Linked DNA regions of Rattus norvegicus. The protein of the gene in region 1 purifies or fractionates together with the protein of each later gene. This does not show direct contact. Links are inferred from orthologs where the notes say so. Each region holds a gene or a part of one and is shown on either strand. Other genes may lie near its edges.

What was found.
Region 2: the proteins of Lrp5 (region 1) and Axin1 purify together in Homo sapiens (affinity purification with western blotting; 3 studies listed by BioGRID). This does not show direct contact. The link is inferred for Rattus norvegicus from reciprocal best matches to the Homo sapiens genes LRP5 and AXIN1.

What each region holds. Positions count from the first base shown.
Region 1 is NC_086019.1:210,242,794-210,245,993, reverse strand, and holds the end of Lrp5 (low-density lipoprotein receptor-related protein 5), read left to right. Parts: intron 1-2,030; coding exon 2,031-2,292; 3' UTR 2,293-2,493; downstream 2,494-3,200. UniProt on the Homo sapiens protein: Acts as a coreceptor with members of the frizzled family of seven-transmembrane spanning receptors to transduce signal by Wnt proteins.
Region 2 is NC_086028.1:15,666,631-15,670,544, forward strand, and holds the start of Axin1 (axin-1), read left to right. Parts: upstream 1-1,327; 5' UTR 1,328-1,626; intron 1,627-1,746; exon of another isoform or gene 1,747-1,883; intron 1,884-3,914. UniProt on the Homo sapiens protein: Component of the beta-catenin destruction complex required for regulating CTNNB1 levels through phosphorylation and ubiquitination, and modulating Wnt-signaling.

The DNA.
Region 1 (3,200 bases):
CAATCCTCGTGAGTGAGAGTGGTGTTATGAACATTCCTAATACTGGGGTGATACAAATGCCTAGCTTGCTCTTTTTCATAAGGTCCCAGTGAGATTCCATCAACATTCACACCAGAGAACTAGTGAGTCTCTTGGTTGGTCTGTCTTAGAGGGCTACAGTGGCACCTGCCCCGCCTCGAAAGTCTTTACCCACCGTAGATGCCAGTGGTATAGATGGAGCTTTCCTTCAGGAAATCTTCCTGAGACCCCAGGCCAAACAAATTAGAGCAGAGTTGCATACAAATGGCTGGGAGGTGCAGTGGGGGAGCCACTGAACTATCAGTGTCCTCTCCGGCCACTTTTTCTATCAAGGAACATCAGTTAACAGGACAGCAGGTGATGGGCTCCGGTTTGCAGACTCAGCTGATTTGATGAAAATGGCTCATGTTGCTCAGAGAACTCACATCCTGTGACAGAGTGGCCCCAGAATGAACCGGAGAAGCAGGATGGTGGTACACTGCTGTGGTTGTAGTAACTAGGGAGCCTAGGGTGCCAGGGTGGGTATAACTAAGAGGCTACCCTCTAGGTACTCTGGCCTCAGCCCCAGAGGGCTACCTGCCAAGGCCTGGAAAGAGGGTTAGGGCCCCACCTACAGGGCTCTGGGGGGACCACACTACCTGGGTCCCTGGTCTATTGGATCTTGCAGGGTGTCCCTGTCTGCCCTCTAGTGGCCATTTCTGGGAACTTTTGCACTGGACTTGTCCCAGGCTTGCAGCCCCTTCTGCACTGCTGCTCAAGCACCAGCAGTGACTGCTAGTGTCAAAGTATAACATGCATCCTGTGCTGCCAACCCAGAGTTGTCACTGACTCCGCAGCTCTGTCTGCCACTGTCCCCAGACTGGAGATATCCAGGCCTGCAAAGCCCGTTCCCTGAATCTTCCATCCTGCCTGCCTTTGCTCTGGCGTTACTCCAAGGCATTGTCCCTTTCACGGCCTGGCCGAGGCCGAGTTCCATGAGATGCGTGTTGCCACTGTTTCAGCCTCCCATTCCTGCTCACAGTGTGACCCCAGTATGGTGGGTCCAGACTCTGAAATAAACCATGATCCCTGCCTTGGTAAGTTCAGGACCCAGGCCCTGATGCAGAATTTCTGGGCCTCTCAGCCACTGGGAGGCTGGGAGACATCACCAAGGTCAGGGTGCTTTAACTTAAGACTTCTAGGGGTTGGGGATTTAGCTCAGTGGTAGAGCGCTTGCCTAGGAAGCGCAAGGCCCTGGGTTCGGTCCCCAGCTCCGAAAAAAAGAACCAAAAAAAAAAAAAAAAAGACTTCTAGAATCACACATTCTCAACGGTCACAGGAAAGAACATTGTACTCAATAGCTATTAAACACTTTCTCCTGTAGGCACTTATGCTTCTGGCATGTTCTACATAGACTCTTACTTCTTTTTTCCAATCCTCTTAAGAAATAAGGCTGGGCTGGGGCTGGGGAGATTACTTGACACACAGTATTAGGAATGGAGTAAAAGGCCACACACGTGGAGAGCCTCTGAGAATCCCAGCACCTGGGAAACAGAGACAGGAGGATCCTGGGGGCTCACTGGCCAGCTAGGATAGCTAAATTAATGAGCCCAGGTTGAATGAGAGCCCCTGCTTCAAAGAATAATGTGGAGAGTGACCTATCACTCGGAAGACATCTGAGGTCAACCTCTGACCTCCATACACTTGAACACGCACTCTCACACATGCCTATGAGGTTGCACATACAACCCCCAAAGCAGGGGTGTTTCCTTTTGAGAAACGAAAATTTGGAGGTTAAGTGAGCTCTTGCCAGTCAGCCAACAGGTTCTGCTGACCTGTTGTCTGGAAGGGAACCAGGGATCTATTTCTTACCAAGCCCTGACTGTGGAGGCAGAGAGGGAGAAAGAGACTGAACTCTGGGTTAGGCCACCCAGCAGGCCTTCTGCTTGTAGAAACTCTAAGGACCAGCAATTCAAAGGCCTGATACACATGTGGCTAGGCACTCAAGTGAACTTGTTCTTTGTTCCCTCTAGGCCCTACATCATTCGAGGTATGGCACCCCCAACAACACCTTGCAGCACAGACGTGTGTGACAGCGACTACAGCACCAGTCGCTGGAAGACCAGCAAGTACTACCTGGACTTGAATTCGGACTCAGACCCCTACCCGCCCCCGCCCACTCCCCACAGCCAGTACCTGTCTGCAGAGGATAGCTGTCCACCCTCTCCTGTCACTGAGAGAAGCTACTGCCACCTCTTCCCACCCCCTCCATCCCCCTGCACGGACTCGTCCTGACCTCGGCCGTCCACCCCGGCCTCGCTGCCTCCCTGTAAATATTTTTAAATATGAACAAAGGAAAAATATATTTTATGATTTAAAAAATAAATATAATTGGGATTTTTAAGAAGTGAGAAATGTGAGCGGTGAAGGGGTGGGCAGGGCTGGGAAAACTTTGTACAGTGGAGAAAATATTTATAAACTTAATTTTTTAAAACATACCTGCCATTCTTTTGTGCCTCGTGAGTATTTGAGTATTGAGCCTGTTCCCAAAGACAGATTTCACCCCACTGGATTGCCGCCATACATGCATCCTCTTGTGCATGGCTGTCCCTCTATCAAGCCCCCTCAGGCGGAGACAGGTTGGGACCTGACCTGTACAGAGAATCATTCACATGCTGCTCAAAGGCTCAGGGCGTTTCCCACTTTGCACTGGACCTGCATGATGTGTTCCTGGGCTTCAAGCTGTGTTGGCATTCGGGCTCATCCCTGGTGCCAATCACGAGGACCAGAGGCCAAGGTGGCCCTCTGACCATCCCATCTGTGTAGACCCCAATGGATGGAGCTATGAATTCGACTCTGTCAGGCTGTAGTTGCTCAGGCCATGTCATAGACAATGCCTTTGGTCCCTGGAGGCATTCAGTCAGCAGAATCAGAGGTCTGTCGACATGTTTACCTGGGTCATGGTGAAGTATAGAGTCTTGATCTCTATCCTGGGGAGGGGTCTCTTGTCTCACAGTGGGTGAAGTAAAGTTGTGGCATGGACTGAAGAGAGTGGGTGACTCTTGAAGTGTCCTGACAGTTGAAGGGAATAGGCAATGTCCTATCACCTCAGCTTCAAGCGTGACTGCTGCAATCGTGGCATTGGAGAGAAGTCAGAATGACCACACTCAGTTTTGGGTGTGACAATACCTACGAACTGAAAG
Region 2 (3,914 bases), on another chromosome or scaffold:
TGGCAGGCTAGGTCACCCTAGTAGCTATAGTTCAAGTGGTTCCTTCTCTATACATAGTAATTCTGGGCCTCAGCACTGTGCTAAGTCCTCTCAAGAGACAGGTGGCAGGGTTAGGATCACTTCAAGCAGCTGGGTGGAAGATGGCCTGTGGGTTTAGAGTCCTAAGCCAATACTACTGCTTTTGCCTGGAAGCCATGATGGATAAGGGACCAAACAACGAGGGAGAACAAAGCCCAGAATAAAACATAATAGTGGCACTAGCAGCATGTAGATGTAGGCACTAAAAGCATGTAGATGGGCAAGTGCGGATGCAGCCAGGATAGATAACTGGAGAGGTTCTGAAAGAATTTGGGGGGGGGGGGTTGGGGATTTAGCTCAGCGGTAGAGCACTTGCCTAGCAAGCGCAAGGCCCTGGGTTTGGTCCCCAGCTCCGAAAAAAAGAAAAAAGAAAAAAAAAAAAAAGAATTTGGGTACCAGGACTACTCTGGTCAAGGTGAAGCATTGGGTGTGTACTGAGCATGGGTTGCAACCTCTTGTCTGTAAAATGGACTACCTGAGAGGTGTCCGACTGTGCTCCAGAGTCCCGATTTGACTGGTAGATGACATTCTTAAGTGCAGTAATTCCTTGTGTACACATCCATCTTCTTGGGGCGTGGCTGACCGAGGGTTGCGGCCTGTCAAGTAGAGAGCTGGGTATCCATGTTCCTGATACTGTGGCCTTGTGTACGTAAGCCTGTGGTGGGGCATCATGGAGTTGGCTCGTTGCGCCTTCAGACTCAGCAAGAGCTGCTTTGGGGGACCGTATATCTGTTATGTGTGTGTTTGTGTGGAGAGGTCCGGTTACCCAGAGGCCGTTTCAGGGTAGCGTTTGCGACCAGACATAGGTGGTCTGCCTTCAGTGTACTGGCCTAGGGTTCGGTGATGGCCGAGGTTGTTGAGCGCGCTCAGGGCTGTTTCCCATGCCACCTTTCGGGACGAGCAGTAGTTGCGGCCCCATTGGGCATCCTCCGCGACTACGTTCCAGCGGCGCTCCTAGTTCACGCCCCGCCTCCACCACCGCAAGACACTGCTTGGCTCTGGTTTCCTTCCAATCTTGAGTACGCCGCAGCCCCGCCTCTCAAGACCCTGCCCCTTACTCTTCTGGTCTTCAGCCTCCCACCCCGCCCATGTTAGAAGCTCCGCCCCACACCGTGGTTCTGCTTTCACACAGAGACCCAGCCTCCGCAGCAGTCCCGCCCCACACCACGGCCCCGCCCCCGCACTTCCGGGCGGCGCCGGCGGGGGCGCTCGGGCCTGGGCTTCAGGGCTCTGGGCTCCCGGCTCAGGGAAGCGCTTGCGGCCGTTGCGGCCGGTGCCGCCGCCGCCGCAGGAGCCTGCCGGGGTCGGGCTGGAGCCTCCTTCCAGAGTGGGCTGGTGAGAGTGAACAGCGGGTCTTGGCGGCGCTCTGCGGCCTGCCTCGCGCCGCCTCCAGGCCACGGGTCGCCGAGCCGTCGCCGCCGCCGCGATGGGGGCCCCTCAGGGCCGCGCCCCCGCCGTGGCCCGCCCGCTGAGCCGCCGCTGAGCGCATGGGCCTCGCCGGGCCGGGAGCCAGGCCCCGGGCCGCGCCTCCACAGCCGCCGCGCGCTGGTGAGTAGTGGGAGCCGGCGGGCGCGCTCCTGTGGCGCGGAGGCCTGCTGCCCGGGGCTGCGGGAGTAGGCCGCGCTAGGCCGGCGTACGCGGACCCGGAAGAGAGGGGCGCGCGGGTTGCGGGCGGGAGGCGTGTCGGAGCGTGGCCCGCGCTGTGCGAGGTTGTGCCCGGTGTAGGGAGAACAGAGCTCCAAGCGGACGCTAAGCAGGAGAGGTGGCAGGTTCCGCAGTATGTGTAGAGGCGTGGGGACTGCCTGGTATGCTAGACATATTGGGGAGAAGGGCTTTGAGGGGGCGATGTGCTAGGGACGGGATGATAGTAGGGCATGAGGAGAGCAAAGGCCTGTGTGAACAGGACAAGGGAGTACGGAAAACCAAGGATTCTAAGAATGGTCTACAGTTAGGTGTGTGTCTGCTGAGCGTGGTATACTTGTTCATGGGCCGGGGACTCGTTTAGGATGTGGGTGAGTTGGTGTTGAGGAGCTGCTGGTGGTAGACTATGTTTGTGTCCTCCGAACTGGGTGTGTGTGTCCTTCCTTCACATCATCCTAATCCCTATGAAAAAGTAAAGTAGGGTCAAGTAAGAACAATCCAAGGAGGGCACTCTATGGTGTGGTTTGACTGGCCAAATACCCACTTGTTCTGGTGTCCATTGCCTTACTTATGCTCCCCCAAAACAAAATACCCCCCTCCCAACCGAAACCCAAAGTGCACATTTTTAGTTGGGCATAAAGAAAGTAGAAAGAAAAAAAAAAAACCTAAGGATTTTTCTCAGCTCATCTTCAAGATAAACGTGTGCATTTTTCCCTTTTACTCTGACAAGTCCATTTACTCACAGCCAGTTTGGAGAACATGGGAGTCTGACTTTACCTGAGAGAGGCAGTACTGGCTGATTTCAGTTTTAGAGCTTCACTTCAGGATCAAGAAAGTATATGAAGCACAGGGATTCTGTTTGATTTTTCAGCAGTATTGACTTGTGCTACATCTTTTGGAGAAACAAAGTGGGTTTTATTGTCCGTTAAGACTTTATTTGAAGGGGTTGGGTATTTAGCTTAGTGGTAGAGCTCTTGCCTAGCAAGCGCAAGGCTCTGGGCTCGGTCCTCAGCTCCCCCCCCCCCCAAAAAAAAGGACTTTATTTGATGGGTGACTGGATTAGATATGAAATGAGAACCCTGACCTTTCAAGAATTTAATCAATGGCTCATTAGTAAAATGCTAGTCATATTATTTTCACATTCAACCTAAATCATAAGCTTATACTCTGTGTGTGTGTGTGTGTGTGTGTGTGTGTGTGTGTCAGACTTGTATATTACCTTTATGGAGTTACTTTATAAGTGTTGGTTGCAGGTTTGAGGCTGGATTTGGTACTATGGGTTTTAGACTTATTGAATTATCATAGCTGCTTTTTGTGTGGTATTTCTGTGTACCTTACCTGTTAGGTGTCCTCTGTGGGAGCCCAGGGATTATTGGAAATTGGGCTGTTTTAATGTTAGTAATTTGTGGGAATGTTGATGTTCAGGGACAGGTGCAGGAGTGCAGGCCCCTCTTTCCTATGATGATATCTTAGATAAGAGCAAGGAGACATGATGGGCTGCTGTGGTGTTTCAGATGTCCAAGATGCTTACCACATGTAGACAGAACTCCCAGAAAGTGACTAAGTTAAGGAGAGGTATAGGAGGTCTGTGAGCAGCAGGAGACCACAGTCATCGGCTGTGACCTTAAGAAACAGGCTGATCCTGCTGAGGCTGAGATTATAGCTTACCTAAGAAGTCATTAGTTGCAGAAATATCATAATTGTGACCCATCTTTTATTTGTACATGCCTCTTCCTTCTAGCCATTAGTAATCTAGTCATCAGCATCGTTAGCAGGTAAAGTGTGTATTGTGTGAGAATGAACAAAAGATGGATTTCATGGAAGTCAGGGCTCAGCACTGTAGAATGGTGACCAAGGACAGCATCTCCCTTTTTGGTTGTTGATGTGTATCATGTTTTTTGTTTTTGTTGTCTCTTGTACCCCAGACTGCCCTCCAACTCTGATGTAGCCAAGAATAACCTTGAATTCCTCATCCTTCTGCCTCTACCTCCACACACTCATTTTTTGCAGTATTGGGGATCTGGGGATGAAGCCCAGGCCTCAAGCTTGCTAGGCAACACTCTGCCATCTGAGCTACATCCCCAGCCCATGACCTTGAACTCTTTGATTTGTTTTATTTTTGAGACAAGGTTTCTCTCTATAGTCCTGGCTGTTCTGGAACTCTGGCTGCTCTGTAGACCAGGTGGGCCTTGAAC